2 linked regions of the Arabidopsis thaliana genome follow. The protein of the gene in region 2 interacts with the protein of the main gene of each other region in a pairwise test. Each region holds a gene or a part of one and is shown on either strand. Other genes may lie near its edges.

The links. Proteins that work in one complex are often made in the same cells at the same time.
Region 1: the proteins of GBF4 (region 2) and SDG37 interact in a two-hybrid assay, tested with the Arabidopsis thaliana proteins (one large-scale study listed by BioGRID).

Annotation. Positions count from the first base shown.
Region 1 is NC_003071.7:7,771,498-7,780,136, reverse strand, and holds SDG37 (SET domain group 37), read left to right. Parts: upstream 1-3,311; 5' UTR 3,312-3,446; coding exon 3,447-3,561; intron 3,562-3,639; coding exon 3,640-3,785; intron 3,786-3,873; coding exon 3,874-4,008; intron 4,009-4,157; coding exon 4,158-4,212; intron 4,213-4,301; coding exon 4,302-4,420; intron 4,421-4,516; coding exon 4,517-4,605; intron 4,606-4,669; coding exon 4,670-4,751; intron 4,752-4,840; coding exon 4,841-4,945; intron 4,946-5,036; coding exon 5,037-5,127; intron 5,128-5,208; coding exon 5,209-5,328; intron 5,329-5,446; coding exon 5,447-5,553; intron 5,554-5,647; coding exon 5,648-5,717; intron 5,718-6,048; coding exon 6,049-6,112; intron 6,113-6,557; coding exon 6,558-6,717; 3' UTR 6,718-6,917; downstream 6,918-8,639. Other genes in the region: AT2G17905 (Ta11-like non-LTR retrotransposon), read right to left, coding at 2,332-2,850; CPK16 (calcium-dependent protein kinase 16), read left to right, coding at 7,510-7,938, 8,093-8,223, 8,342-8,383, 8,478-8,589.
Region 2 is NC_003070.9:1,014,664-1,021,116, reverse strand, and holds GBF4 (G-box binding factor 4), read right to left. Parts: upstream 3,018-6,453; 5' UTR 2,881-3,017; coding exon 2,068-2,880; 3' UTR 1,870-2,067; downstream 1-1,869. Other genes in the region: PCS2 (phytochelatin synthase 2), read left to right, coding at 1-135, 299-462, 553-604, 703-930, 1,025-1,211, 1,338-1,513, 1,723-1,806; AT1G03960 (Calcium-binding EF hand family protein), read right to left, coding at 3,645-3,785, 3,934-4,059, 4,166-4,322, 4,668-4,777, 4,891-5,038, 5,292-5,433, 5,599-5,689, 5,813-5,918 and 2 more. UniProt on the Arabidopsis thaliana protein: Binds to the G-box motif (5'-CCACGTGG-3') of the rbcS-1A gene promoter. G-box and G-box-like motifs are cis-acting elements defined in promoters of certain plant genes which are regulated by such diverse stimuli as light-induction or hormone control.

The sequences.
Region 1 (8,639 bases), on a different chromosome or scaffold from region 2:
GTTCCTTAGATATTCGATCATTGGTTCTGAGACTATGAATCATTTCATGAGCAACCAATATATTATCAGATATCAAGCGTTGAGGAACAAATGCAGATTGCGTTGTAGAAACAATAGCTGGAAGATGTTTTTTCAATCTTTGAGTCAAAATCTTCGATATTATCTTGTATAGCACAGAACACAAACTTATAGGTCGAAGATCTGACATTCTCTGTGGGCTAGTGATCTTAGGAATGAGACAAATATGAGTGTGATTCCAATCCTGGGGTAGAACTCCAGTCTCAAAGAAACCAAAAATCTCAGTTAAGATCTGATGTTTCACTAAATCCCAATGTTGTTGAAAGAACAAAGCAGTAAAACCATCAGGTCCTGGAGCACTTTCCTTGTTAATAGAGAATACTGCATTATACACTTCCAGTTCAGTGACCTCTTGAATTAAATTGTGATTCATTTCTGATGTTACCTTTGCTTGGAGACCTTCCAGGTGATTGTTATGAGTCAATATATACGTAGAGGTGAACAGATTCTCAAAAAAGGAAGATGCAATTTTTCCTTTATCACTGTTTCTTGTAAATTCCTGATCATTCTCATCAAGTAGAAAGCTTAACTCATTCTTTAATCTCTCAGAGTGTACAGTAGCATGAAAGAATCCAGTATTCTTGTCACCCCCTGCAAGCCATTTTTGTCTGCTTTTTTGTCTCCAAAACAATTCTTCATCACCATATGCTAAACTCAGTTGATCCTTGATATACTCAATTCTAGGCCAACATGGAATTTGAATACTCTTCTCTGCATCTAAATCTTTTCTCAATCTCTTAATTCTACTTTGAGCATTAGTATCAGACGAATGTTTCCATACACTGATAGCTCTACGACATTCAATAAGACTGAAAAAAGAAGAGTGAGTACCTTGAGACATTGCACTATTCCAAGAACGATGTATAACCTCAATACAGTAGGGATCGTCATCAAGTCTTTTATCATAACGAAATTGTCCACGAAAAAGCTCATTGTCATTAGTGAATTTGACCAATACCGGGCGATGATCAGATCCAAACTTCTCTAAAAACCACTGATGAGCATTAGGGAAAATAGAAAACCAAGCTGGATTTCCAAAGCATCGATCCAATTTACACTGAACCCACTGATCATTTCTGTTTCCTCCCCAAGTGAAACTATTACCTGTACTTCCTAATTCATGCATAGAACAGTTGAGTAACATGTGTTCAAAGCATTGAAAAGAAGAAGGTGATCGTCTTGGTCCTCCTAATTTTTCATCATTCGACCTAATATCATTGAAGTCTCCTATTAAACACCATGCTTCTGCTCTCTTGAGACCAATAGAATTCAGGTGTTCCCATAGTTTAGGTCGCATATGGGTAACCGGAAGTCCATAAACACAAGAAATAAACCAAACTTTATTTCTAGAAGAAACCTGAAGATCCATAAGATTTTTATCAGCATAAAGAAACTCAATCTCCAGATGGCTTTTCCAGAAAATTGCTAAGCCACCACTTCTTCCTTCAGGTTCTACTGTATGTATAAAATCATAACCAAGCCAACAAAAAACTTTATAAACAAAATCTTGAGAATTTTTTGTCTCCATGAGGAATAGAATGTCTGGAAAATGATCCTTTTTCATTTCCTTCAAGTATCGAATTGTCCAAGGATTCCTCAGACCTTGACAATTCCAGCTAATGACGCCTTACTGATCCAACGGTGGTTCCTGGAAAACCACCGTATTTTTATCTTTCTTTTGACATTGAGAATCAGAGATGTCTGGAGGGTTTGCTTTTCTTTTGAAGACTTTAGCAAATTGAGGCATTGAATCAGATGATTTGTTTCTCTTCTTCATTGACCATTTTCTCTGTGATTTGCCTTTCCTTGAAGCAGAAGAAGAGAACTCTTGCATTAAATGATGTTGAAAACCTGCAGTCGAGGTACTAGCCTCACCATAGCCTGTTGTGAAACCAGTTAAAACTTCTAAATCAGCAAGGTCTTCAAAAACCTTATCATCTCGAAGAGTAGAAGCAAAACCAGAGACTGGTATATCCGTTGTTATCATAGCCTCGCTTATTAGTTTCGAGTCTGATACTTCAGAAGGTAAAGGAACTTGAAACTTTGAAAGACGTTCTAACGAGTTACCTTCGGGTGAAGATCTCTTGACATGAAGATTTATAGGTTCAGAAATCTTCATAGAACATTTGTTTTTATCATGAGTTAATCGTTGACAGTGGAAACACCTTTTCCTAATCCTCTCATAATCAAAAGAAATGAGAACAAGTTCACCTGAAGGAAGTTGAACCTCTTTATTGTTACGAAGAGGATTGGCTACAGAAAATAGAACTGAACTCGAACATAATCTTGAACCTGTGATTTTTCAGGATCCATGACAACCTGCATCACTTTCCCTAAACATCCCGCAATCTCCTTAATCGTGTCTTCAGTATAATAGTTAACGGGAATATTTCTGATTCTAACCCAAATTGGGAGAAACCTCAGATAGTCATCAGGTGGTTTCTCTATCCATTTTTGCATAACAACTGCCCAATCATCTTGTGTCCACACTCCAGTCTTCAAGATTTCTTCTAAGTCTTCCTCATATTTAAAGAAAAATTGAAACCGCTCTTTCGAAAGAGCCACACCTCTAACACGATTAGATAAACGCCAAATACGAGGCATGTCTAAAATCCAGTTAGACATCCGTTGATTTTCTGGATTTAAGAATCTTCCCAGAATACTACAGCTATTGCGTTCAATAGAGGAAAACTGCGGAAGATTTGAGAGAATCAGAGGTTGATTATCTTCAAGAGACATGTTTTGAATAGCTTTATCCAAGTCTTTATCCATGAAAACTTCAGCAAGCAGATGACAGAACAAAAACAGAGCACTTTGTAAAAGTTTGTTTTAACCGGACCGAAAAAGTTAATATCTCCGGTAGAAGCTCCGCTCAGATGAAAACAGCTGAGAGAGAAGTCCTTGAGCCCAAAAGAAATCTGGGACGGCGATTGATTAACGGCGACGCGAGATCTTTATTTCACCTACTATGAAAGAGAACAGAGAGTTTATTTTTACTATTGAACTTTTTCTGTGTTATAAAGTATACTTTTGAACTTTTCAAACTTTAAATTGATTACTCCAAAATGCAATCAGTTGTTTTCAGTGACCAACGAAACTGAAAAATTAACAACCAGAATTTATAAAATTAGAAAATGGATCTAAATGTAACTAATCAAACTTCCGTCAAATTGTGGAAAATAAGAAAAGGGGATGCAAATGTAAATAATCAAATTTCCGTCAAAACCTGGGAAAAAAAAGAAGAACTCGCGGTCCGGGTTTAAAAGCGAGGCTGACCAAAACCGACCCTAATTTGTTGTAAACTTGAGATTTGATTTGGGACTCAAATTCAAAGTTACCGTTGTTCTCGAAACCTCGCGTAAGTTCCAATGGAAGCTTCACTAATGGCGGATTTGCAGAGATTTCTGCAAGATCGCTGCTTAGGCGTTTCGAATCTCCCACAGAAAGGCCGCTCTCTATTCACTGCCAGAGATTTTCGTCCAGGTTCGTTCGTTTCTCTCTCGCTGGGGTTTAGGGTTTTGTTCGTCTGAGACTTATTCTGATTCCTGTGTTTTCTTCCAGGAGAAGTGATTCTAAGCCAAAAGCCATATATATGTGTTCCGAATAATACATCCTCGGAATCAAGATGTGACGGATGTTTCAAGACCAATAACCTTAAGAAATGTTCTGCTTGTCAAGTGGTTTGGTACTGTGGGAGCTCTTGCCAGGTATATCTGATATGAGTCCTCTCTGGAGAAATTCAGTTGATGATTGATTCATATTCTAAGATTTGTTGTTTGTTGTGATTCCTTTCAGAAGTCAGAGTGGAAGTTACATCGCGATGAATGCAAAGCTCTCACTAGACTTGAGAAGGAGAAACGGAAGTTTGTTACTCCTACAATACGTCTGATGGTTAGACTTTACATCAAGAGGAATTTGCAAAATGAAAAGGTTATCATCAGCTATGTAGAAGTCTAGATACATCCATATTTTGTTTTTGGCTGCTAAATATGGAGAAGAAGGCTGATTCATTGGTTATTTGTGTCATATTGATAGCAGTCTATGAATGCTAAATTCTTAATGTGCTTTATCTTGTCCAGGTCCTGCCAATTACGACGACAGACAATTATAGTTTGGTGGAGGCTTTGGTGTCCCGTATCCTCTCTATGTGTGCCTTATAGCTTTGTGAAATTGATGATCTCTTTACCGCTAGAAATGTGTATTCTTTAACCTTTATATGTTAGACATGTCTGAGATTGATGAAAAGCAGATGTTGTTGTATGCACAGATGGCTAATCTTGTGAACTTGATTCTTCAATTTCCTAGTGTTGACCTAAGAGAGATCGCCGAGAACTTTTCAAAGGTTGGTGATGTGGTCCCGGGATTTTTTGTATTCGTCTTTATTGGAATGTTGTTTAGGGATAATTACTTAAGCCACTTTCATTTCTACTGAACACAGTTCTCATGCAATGCTCATAGCATTTGTGATAGCGAATTGAGACCTCAAGGGATTGGATTGTTTCCATTGGTTTCCATCATTAATCACAGGTAAATGCTTTTTCTTTGTGTTCTTTAATCACTTTGTTTCCTGCCTAAATCTTTTGCTCTGTAGCTGCTCTCCCAATGCGGTTTTAGTGTTTGAGGAGCAGATGGCTGTTGTTCGGGCGATGGATAACATATCAAAGGATTCAGAGGTAGTTTTTGCTTTGTTTCGTCTCTCGTCTTTCGTAATTGCTAGTAGCACACGGACATATAGCTGTTAGATCCTTTTGTCTTTGGTCAGATAACTATCAGTTATATTGAAACCGCTGGAAGCACTCTGACTCGGCAGAAGTCTCTGAAAGAACAATACCTCTTCCACTGTCAGTGTGCCCGTTGCAGTAACTTTGTAAGCAGTCGCTAATTCTCCCACTTATCAACGAATGGAGTTAATTCTATATTTTGTTTACAACCTGTACCATCATTTTTTGATACTTAAGGGAAAACCTCATGATATTGAAGAAAGTGCAATATTGGAAGGCTATCGGTGTGCCAATGAGAAATGCACCGGTTTCTTACTCCGTGATCCTGGTATGTTAAGATTTAACTTAGGTAGTTTGTATCCAAGAACATTTCTTGATCCCTCCAGTCCTCATTTGTTTACTTTTGCAGAAGAAAAAGGCTTCGTTTGCCAGAAATGCTTGCTTCTTAGGAGCAAGGAAGAGGTTAAAAAGTTAGCAAGTGATCTCAAAACAGTTTCAGAGAAGGCTCCTACATCTCCTTCCGCAGAAGGTATCTGTTGCCTTTGCTTCCTCAATACCTGCATTTACATGTCTGAACAAGATTAACTGATCTTCGTTAAATTGAGCTGTGTTGCAAGTTGTCTAAGAAAATCTTTGATCATTTTCAGATAAACAAGCCGCTATTGAACTATATAAGACAATTGAGAAACTACAAGTTAAGCTTTACCATTCTTTCTCCATCCCTTTAATGAGAACCCGTGAAAAACTTCTCAAGGTACGTATCTTTAGGACTTTTGGAAGTTTTACAGAGTTTTGAAGACGAGACAGATATGGTTTCTCAAAGCTTGCCGTTACACATTCTTTTGCAGATGCTAATGGACGTAGAAATCTGGAGAGAAGCTTTGAATTACTGCAGACTAATAGTCCCTGTTTACCAAAGTATGTTTACTTCATCTTGATTATTACGTTGCTCGCTCCTTGACGCATGTTCGATCAATATTTTTCTTTTCTTTAGGATACCTTCTAGTATATAGATCTAGGTGTGGGATTTATATCTTGAACATAAGTACGAAGCTCTTAAGAGTTTTGTATAGATACATTTACTTATAATTACCGTAGGAACTTATTGCCTGCAGTATCAGAGCTAACTGTACTGGCACTAATGGCTGCTAATTATACCTTAAACAGAAACATCTACATAATAATTATAAAATCATTCAAATTCTTTTGGTGGTTATTACTTGTGCTTACCTTGTTTATAAAATTGCAGGAGTATATCCGGCAACCCATCCTTTGATTGGACTGCAGTTCTATACCCAAGGAAAACTCGAATGGTATCAAAGCTTCTTTGCTTTCTCTAGTTTATATTTTGATAGATTTTGAGCTGCGGAAACTGAACTAGAATTTGAAGACAGATTAATGCTCTATATCACGACTATTTAATTCTCCGGTCAAAATCCTTAAGACCAAATAATAAGTGTTTTCCCTCAACTATCAAAGCTACATGTTCTCAGTGTTGGAGACTCTTATTCTACTGTGACTTTTTCAGTCAGGGAAGTGGGAACACGTAGAGATTGGCTAGTGTTAGGCGGAACTTGGCTAATAAGCCTTCAAGATATCCCTAAGTTAGAATCTCTGTGGAAAGAAACATTCGTTTACCTGTAAAAAATTATCATTCATATTTTAACTTTCTACGTGAATCTGAGTCTGAGTGCAATAACATGGTGTCGGTTACTATCATATTCTGCGGATAAAAAAGGTATAATTGTGATGTTGCAGGTTGCTGGGGGAAACCAAAGAGGCGGTGAGTTCATTGATTAAGGCATTTGACATTCTGCGGATCAGCCATGGAATAAGCACACCTTTCATGAAAGAGCTCTCAGCAAAGTTGGAGGAAGCTCGTGCAGAAGCTTCTTATAAGCAGCTTGCATTGCATTGAAAGACGCTTATAATGATGACAACTAGCAACTTTGATCTCTCTCTTGTACAAACTCATGAATCACTTTCTATACTCTCTACACATCTTGAATATATTGAATTTGTCTTTACAAATTCTAGAGCTGAAAACCTGATAAAATTGATCTCCTCTATTTGATCTAATATAATATTTTGGCCACACATGTCAAAATTAGAAATATATAGCCAATTATACAAACTAAATGTAATATGTATTGCATACTCACATGTACCAACTATATGACGATATGTAGTCGCATCACTACTATTTTGTTCCGGTACACCATTCATAGATATCAACTTCAACAATCGTTAACCAACAAAAATATTAAAAAAACATATTGTTATCAAATAATCTGCTCAACAAAAATATTAAAAAAACATATTGTTATCAAATAATCTGCTTGTTACATTTACTTGGATATTTGGATGATCCACTTTTTCATTAATCAGTTTTAAAATTTCTCATCTAAGCACAATATATATAATTTTATTCAAATACTTTATAACCTGAAATTCTTTAATTTCCTACACCCAAAAAGAAAATTTATTTTGCAAAATGGAAAAAAAAAAAAAAGTTTCACCCGAGAAAAGTCTATTTCTTGACACAACGCATATCGAAGCTTCTCCTTCTCCATATCTCTCTCTCTCCCTCCCTCTGGCAATGCTGTTTCGATGGCAACCTCATTTCCTATTCATTAATGCCTCACAAATCCCCTAAGAAAACATCCTCATTGCGTAGGGTCTAAGAAACCGAAATCCCACAAAAAAACTCATGGGTCTCTGTTTCTCCTCCGCCGCCAAATCCTCCGGCCACAACCGCAGTAGCCGGAATCCCCACCCACATCCTCCTCTCACGGTTGTTAAATCCAGACCACCGCGATCTCCATGTTCCTTCATGGCCGTTACGATCCAAAAGGATCATAGAACGCAACCGCGACGCAATGCAACGGCTAAGAAAACGCCGACGCGGCATACGCCACCGCACGGGAAAGTGAGAGAGAAAGTTATAAGCAATAACGGTAGGAGACATGGAGAAACGATCCCCTACGGTAAGCGTGTAGATTTTGGGTACGCTAAAGATTTTGATCACCGTTACACCATTGGAAAATTGCTTGGACATGGTCAATTTGGTTATACATATGTCGCTACCGATAAAAAAACCGGTGATCGTGTCGCCGTCAAGAAGATCGATAAGGCCAAGGTATGATGATGAATCAATCATTTTTGCTGTCTTTTTCTAATCATTGAGTTTTATTTTATTTAAGATTCTTCAGATTTTGGAGCACAAAGATTATTTTATATATTTAAAATATATTCGGATTCTTGCGTTTCTTGATTTGATTTTTGTTGGGTAGATGACAATTCCGATAGCTGTGGAAGATGTAAAGAGAGAGGTGAAGATATTACAAGCTTTAACTGGTCATGAAAATGTGGTTCGGTTTTATAATGCCTTCGAGGACAAGAACTCTGTTTATATAGTTATGGAGTAAGTAAAAAGCCTTTTAGGTCGTGTGTTTTTCTTTTCTTGTAATGCAAGAAAGGCAAAGGGCGAAAACTTCTCTGTTGCTAATTAGTTTTTCCATTGATGATATATTGTTCTCTAGGTTATGCGAGGGTGGTGAATTACTTGATCGTATTTTAGCCAGGTAACTTTAGTAATACGTTTACATGTGTGTTACTAAAATTTTAGAGTCTTATTACTTTTTGAGTAATTAAGCTATTGTTGTTGCTTGTTTCCAGGAAGGATAGCCGTTATAGCGAGAGAGACGCGGCCGTGGTGGTGAGACAAATGCTGAAAGTTGCGGCTGAGTGTCATTTACGCGGTTTGGTTCACCGAGATATGAAACCAGAGGTAGCTTAATTACTCCATCATCATGTTTCTGAATGTGTATAGTTGGTTTT
Region 2 (6,453 bases):
TCTTCAGGAGCAAAAGTCGAAGCTTTCCGCACAAATCAGAGCACCATTGATGATTTCCGCAAATATGTGGTCAAATGTTCAACTTCTGATAATTGTCATATGATCTCAACATATCATAGGCAAGTACTCAAGCAGGTATCATTTTTTTGGCCTAAACTCTGTGTATATTAACAGTTATATGGCAATTAAGTGAAATTCATTAGACTTAATGTTATTACAAAGTTTGATAATGGTGAAACTCTTTCATGTCTTGCTATGAAGTCCCATGCTGATCGGATTCTAATGTCTATGATTGCAGACTGGAACTGGCCACTTTTCACCTATTGGTGGTTATAATGCTGAAAGAGATATGGCTTTGATTCTTGATGTCGCTCGTTTCAAGTATCCTCCTCACTGGGTTCCTCTTAAACTTCTTTGGGATGCCATGGATAGTATTGATCAGTCAACAGGGAGACGTAGAGGGTACATGGATCTCTATTCTTTTTCTTAGGCTTCACTTGTATGATTAAAGAATGTAATCCGTTTCTTTTTGCTATTCTGCTTTACTTCCAGGTTCATGCTTATATCAAGACCCCACAGAGAACCAGGATTGCTCTATACATTAGTAAGTCCAAAGTCATGGTTCTATTAGTAGTTGCTGCTATTACAATAACATTTCTTTCGAATAGGACTGAGTAATGATATCTTGATTATCGATTTCAGAGTTGTAAGGATGAGAGCTGGATCAGCATTGCAAAGTATTTGAAGGAAGATGTTCCTCGTCTTGTAAGCTCACAACATGTTGATACTATTGAAAGAATCTTATATGTTGTATTCAAGTCACTTCCAGCAAATTTCAACCAATTTATCAAATGGATGGCTGAGATTCGAAGAACAGAGGATGTAAATCAAAATCTTAGCTCAGAAGAGAAATCAAGGCTCAAATTAAAGGTATTATCTTGTCCATTTGCTTCTGAACTTTAGTTTTCCATGTTTATATTCCATCAGTTTATTCATCACTGTTCTATGGTTCGTTTTGCTGTAGCAAGAGTTACTGAAACAAGTGCAAGAAACTAAACTGTTCAAGCATGTGGATAAGTTTCTCTCCTCTGTGTACGAAGACAATCTGCCATATGTTGCTGCTAAGGTTTATTGTGACGGAGATGAAATCTTATCGGGATATGAATCAGATGAATCCTGTTGTAAGGAAACTTGTGTCAAATGTATCAAAGGTATGTTTGTTCTTACATTCTGGTTATCTTTCTAAGCGCTTCAGAAACCTTGGCTTGAAGTTAGTAGTGTGCAAAGTTCTAATCAAGAAATCACTTTTTTCTTTGAATTTCTTGTTTTACATCAAGGTCTTGGTGAGGAGAAAGTGACAGTGGTAGCTTACCCATCCGGGAACGATGTGTTCACTGCTCTTCTGTTGGCTTTACCTCCACAGACGTGGTCAGGTATCAAAGACCAGTCACTTTTGCAAGAAATGAAACAGCTCATTTCCATGGTTAGCCACCCGACTTTGCTTCAACAAGAGGTACATAACTAAGCCAACTCTTCACTTGGAGTCTGAGTTATATATCTTCTAATTCTTAGGATAAGAAACAGAAATGAAACTCAGTTATATAGTCTGAGGATTACCTTCTGAAGCTGACTCTTTTTTAAGGCTGAACTCCAGAATCCATTAGATGAGAAATATGTAGTAAAGTCAGCTAAGTTAAATCGTTTTCCTTTGGTGGGTTACAGGTTTTGCATCTACGACGCCAACTTGAGATGCTAAAACGATGCCAGGAGAATAAAGAAGACGAAGAACTCTCTGCTCCTGCCTAATCAAACACAACCAACCACTTTCTAATTTGAATCGACCAACAAAATTGTTAGGGAGAAAAAGAATTTATCCCATCTAGTCTGGTCCATAGATATCTTATAAATCAGCAAAAAGCTATGTATTATCCATTACATCCCTTAGATACATTACAGGTAACTAAGTACTAACCATATCACCATCACTTTACTATATAGATTATAATATAGTAATCAAGCCCATATGTTTTTATTTTTTTTACATACAAAAGTTTTTTTTACCACACTTCACCATTCCAAGGAATGGCTCCTGCTTAAGGGCCTCGACGGTGGCCTTGGTTTCTCATCGACCGGAATCAGAACCTCCATGAGCTTCTTGTATCTCTCTTTAGTGCTCTCTTCAATCTCCTTCAAAAGCTGCTCATTCTCCTCCTCTAACTTGGCAGCCAAAGTCTCTAACTCAACCTGATAAGCCTGTTTCCTCTCTCGAGACCTAGCAGCGGATTCACGGTTCTTGATCATCCTCTTCTGTCTCTGAGCTGCAGCTTTATCCATTGCCTCCATCATCACTCTCCCTCTCTTTCCTCTCGTTACTCCTCCACCCATTGATCCTTCAACCATCTGGAACGAACTGTGTCGCTGCATCGGAAAATCAAATGTATAGCTACCGTCGTTGTTGAGTCTCTCCGTTGGAATCTTCACATCGATTTCATCTGAAGCTCCCTCGTCCATTTCTGCTTTCGCTAAGAAATCCTCAAGTGTCATTATATCTTCTGGTTCTTCTTCCTTCATCATGATCGTCTTTTGCTCTCCAGATACAATCTCTTTCCAAACATCGTCAACACTCTTTCCGTTGTTAACGCTGTTCCGATCTCCGATACTCCGATCAACATCAATCGCCATCTCGAAGGGCTTTGAATCAGACGCGAAAGTGTAATCGTTGACTCCTCCGCCGTAAGCGAAACTGATTCTGGAGTGATCGGCGTGAGGATTTGGTCGGAGATGGTGCGATGATCTTATAGAAGGGGAAGATGAAGCAGAAGAAGAATTACGGCGAGACAAGTCGGAATTGGAAGAAGACATCAACTTGAAGGACGCCATTTCCGGAGCTCACTGGAATTGGAACGAATTTTTATCTATCTGGGTTTTGTCAAAGAGAAAGAACAATCGGAAATGGTGGATTTTCTTCGAACCAGAGATCGAGAGAGATCTTTCTAGGGTTATCTCTAGTGTTTTGCAATGTAACCACGCGCTTACTCTCTATATACAAGTTTAATTAACTAATCACGCGCACATTAAACGCGTGACTTGCACCTTCTATCAACTATACTATAAGGAGATGTTTTTTCTTTTCTTTTTAATTAAGAAAAAAGATTTACTATTCAGATTTCTTTCTCTTTTTTTTTTTATGAAAAAGATATCAGTGCAACTAAAGAGATTTACAATTCAGATTTCTTTCTGAAAATATATTCGTGTGACAGTAAAGACTAAAAGAGTTTAACAATTCAGATTTATGAGTACATTCTGAGTTGGACAATCCAACTGGTTATATGGACACTAGATGATGTAGAGGGAGAGAGGGCCCAACTTGATATAATCTTTATAATGAAACCAAAACAAAATTGCAAAAATTTCATGAATTTGGCTGAGACTCTTTTGGAAATGATGATGAAAGCGTCTGGTAACAACCAACAGTGACCTCCAATCTCTGATCATGGATCTCTCTCCAGGGAAAACCTCAAATCATAAGTCTCCTTATTTGGTTGGTTTCTGTAGTCAAGATCGGCTTTCGACTCAATAAATCACAGAATTTTATAAGCATTTGCATTTCCTATACACAAGCAGTGTGAACTTACCACTATGGACTAAAATGGAGGTTCGAGTGGTTCATCCCAGACATCTGCACTCCCATTTGAGACTTCATCTACATCTTCCTCCATTGACAATCTCGCATACTCTCTCTGAGCAAATCGATCCCACTCTGTCAAATTTGGATCTTCCCGTTCCTACAGCAATGAAAGAGAATTATACTTGTTCTAATTGCCTCAATCCGAACTACTACAAACTGCCTTTAGCAGTTAAAAGAAGTCATATTCTTTGTTATTTTTTTCCCTCTTGAGTGCTATAAAAACTCCACTGGTAAGCCAAACTTACCTGGCGAATGAGAAATGGGTCACGTGTTTCAAATGCCATGAACTTATTAAGGTTGAAGAGTATATTGAAAACGTTTGCTGAAAGTTTCGATCCTTTCAGATCCTGGAGGGTGATACAGTTCTCCTTCTGCAAGGACATCCACCATATAGATGATTCCAGTCAAATAAATGATAAATAACAAAAAAGCTCGGAAAAATCAAACAACCATGTTCTGGTTTGTAAAGTAACTAACCTCGGGTCCAATCATGTCAATTATTTGACATAGGATATCACTGAAAAGAACAGCTTCCTGGGTTATGCATTCCATGCGATGCAGCTGCTCTTCGAAGAAAAACTGCATTTCGTTTGAAGTGATTACCCCATTTCCATCCAAGTCTACGCATTTGAACCTGCACGGAAAATTTCAATCAGTGTCAAGTAAAATACACGGACTTGCAAAAATATTGAGTTTTGACATCCATAATAGATAGATGAGCATACTAGGCTATAAACTAGTATCAGATTGTTAGATTGTTAGTGCCCGAGTATAAACAAGGATCCTATGTTCATGAAAAAATGGTACCATACAATGATTACTAAATATATCTGAGGAAGAGGACTTGTTACAAGTAACAAGTCCTCAAGTCACTGGTTTTGACTCCGTTGTAGTATATATATCAAGATCTTGTGATCTAAACCAAGGGGCAACATTCATTAAGGAAAACCAATATCAACACGGAGGGGGAGATGTGTACCAATACTCAAGACTAGGCTCGGAAGACTTGTCTTCCTCAGCGAGAATGAAGTACACAAAATCTTCATAACTCATCTTCCCTTCAACTTTACTCGTAAACTTCCTTGGAATCTAAAAGAGAAACATAGCCACAAGACGCATGGAGATCAAATAAAAAGGATCACATCATACTATATAACTTAGCTTTTAAGAAGGTCTAGGCAGGAACAATTTTGGGAACCAACCTGTGAAAATATTCTATCAACAATCCTGTAGGTAAGGGCATTATTACCATATTTGATGAGATTGTCCTTATCAATAAAACAATCATGGTCACCATCAAGTTCCCAAAATTTGCAGTATATCACGTAGAAGTGCTCATAGGAGAAGTACCTGAAAATTAAAAGAAACGACATGATTGCAAATGGTAAAATCAGGCATAAGTTCTGTTACAGAAGCAATATGAAGGTATAAGCCAATACTCATATAGCTCTTCCATTTTGAACTGTTTAATGTTACATATGTGATAAACCCTCGAACTTTAATATATTTTCGTAAGCTTGTTTACTCCTTATATAACAACAGAATATGTTTGAATTTCAAATACTTATTGTTAGGAAATTATGAAAAGAAAAAATAAACTCACCTAATAATTTTATTAATGTCGTCCTCTTCATCAAGTTGTTGCATAGCAGCAATTAAATTTCCACGTCTCAGCTCTCTAAGAGTAAGGCAGCCAGTTCCGGATCTGTTAATGTAGTAAAATATTCTGTAGATGACCGTTTCAGCTGGGTAATCAACAAAGGATTAAAATTAGTACAAGTATGAATCTAACATAAGTACATATCTAGTAGAGATATAAAGATGTATGCACAGAAAGAACGTCTTATTGAGTAGGTTTCATCATTTTTAACACCATGACAATCAGTAAGTCACAAATCAATGGTTCCTACCATATCTTTCTTGAAACTCGCTTATCGTCCTCAAAAATTCTAATCCAGGATGTGTTGCCAGAAGCTCATCAAGAACTGGTTTGAAGTCTGCCTGTAGCCAAATCCAAGAAATGATCAAAATGTATGGCACAATGGGTTAAGAAAAGGAAGACAATTGTTGGAAAATAAATCAGAACGCGGTTGGAGAAAAGCGGGAGAAGAATCACAAAAAGACCTGTCTGAGATAGCTGCAGCCCTGCTGCCTTAGTATATTATATATCTGGGAGGCTGTGTCCATAGTTAACATATTGCCATCAATCCAATACTTGATAAATGCATCCCTGAGGACAATTGGTCAATCAGCAAACATTAGTACCGCACCAATTACCCAACAAAGCTTTATAAGAAAATAGAGCAAGCACCCAAAGTTCTCATACTACTTTTAAAAAACATTTTATAAAAGAATAAATGAGTCATATATGGAGCTACCTTGTAACTATATCAGTGCAATTGGGATCGATCTTTCTGAAAAGTGCAGGAGAAAGAAAAGAAGGCAGCTTGCAGACTTGTTTCGTAATGGATTTGAATTCTGCAAGAGGAACGAGAATGGTAAAATGAACTGCCTTATATATTCCTTAGAAGGACAAAAATAGAACAAAAACATCACCATCTACATGTAGTCCATCAATATAGTTACTAAAAACTTGATCAACCATGGATAGACATTGCTCCTTTAGTTCTTTTGCTGGTGGACGCCCGTGTTGGTAGTAGAACTGCAGAAATTATAAACATATGAACAGTTGTGAGCGAAACTTATTATCATGTCACAGTGAAGGACCATTTTTCGTTCAAATCAAGTTTACCTACAAATTAGTA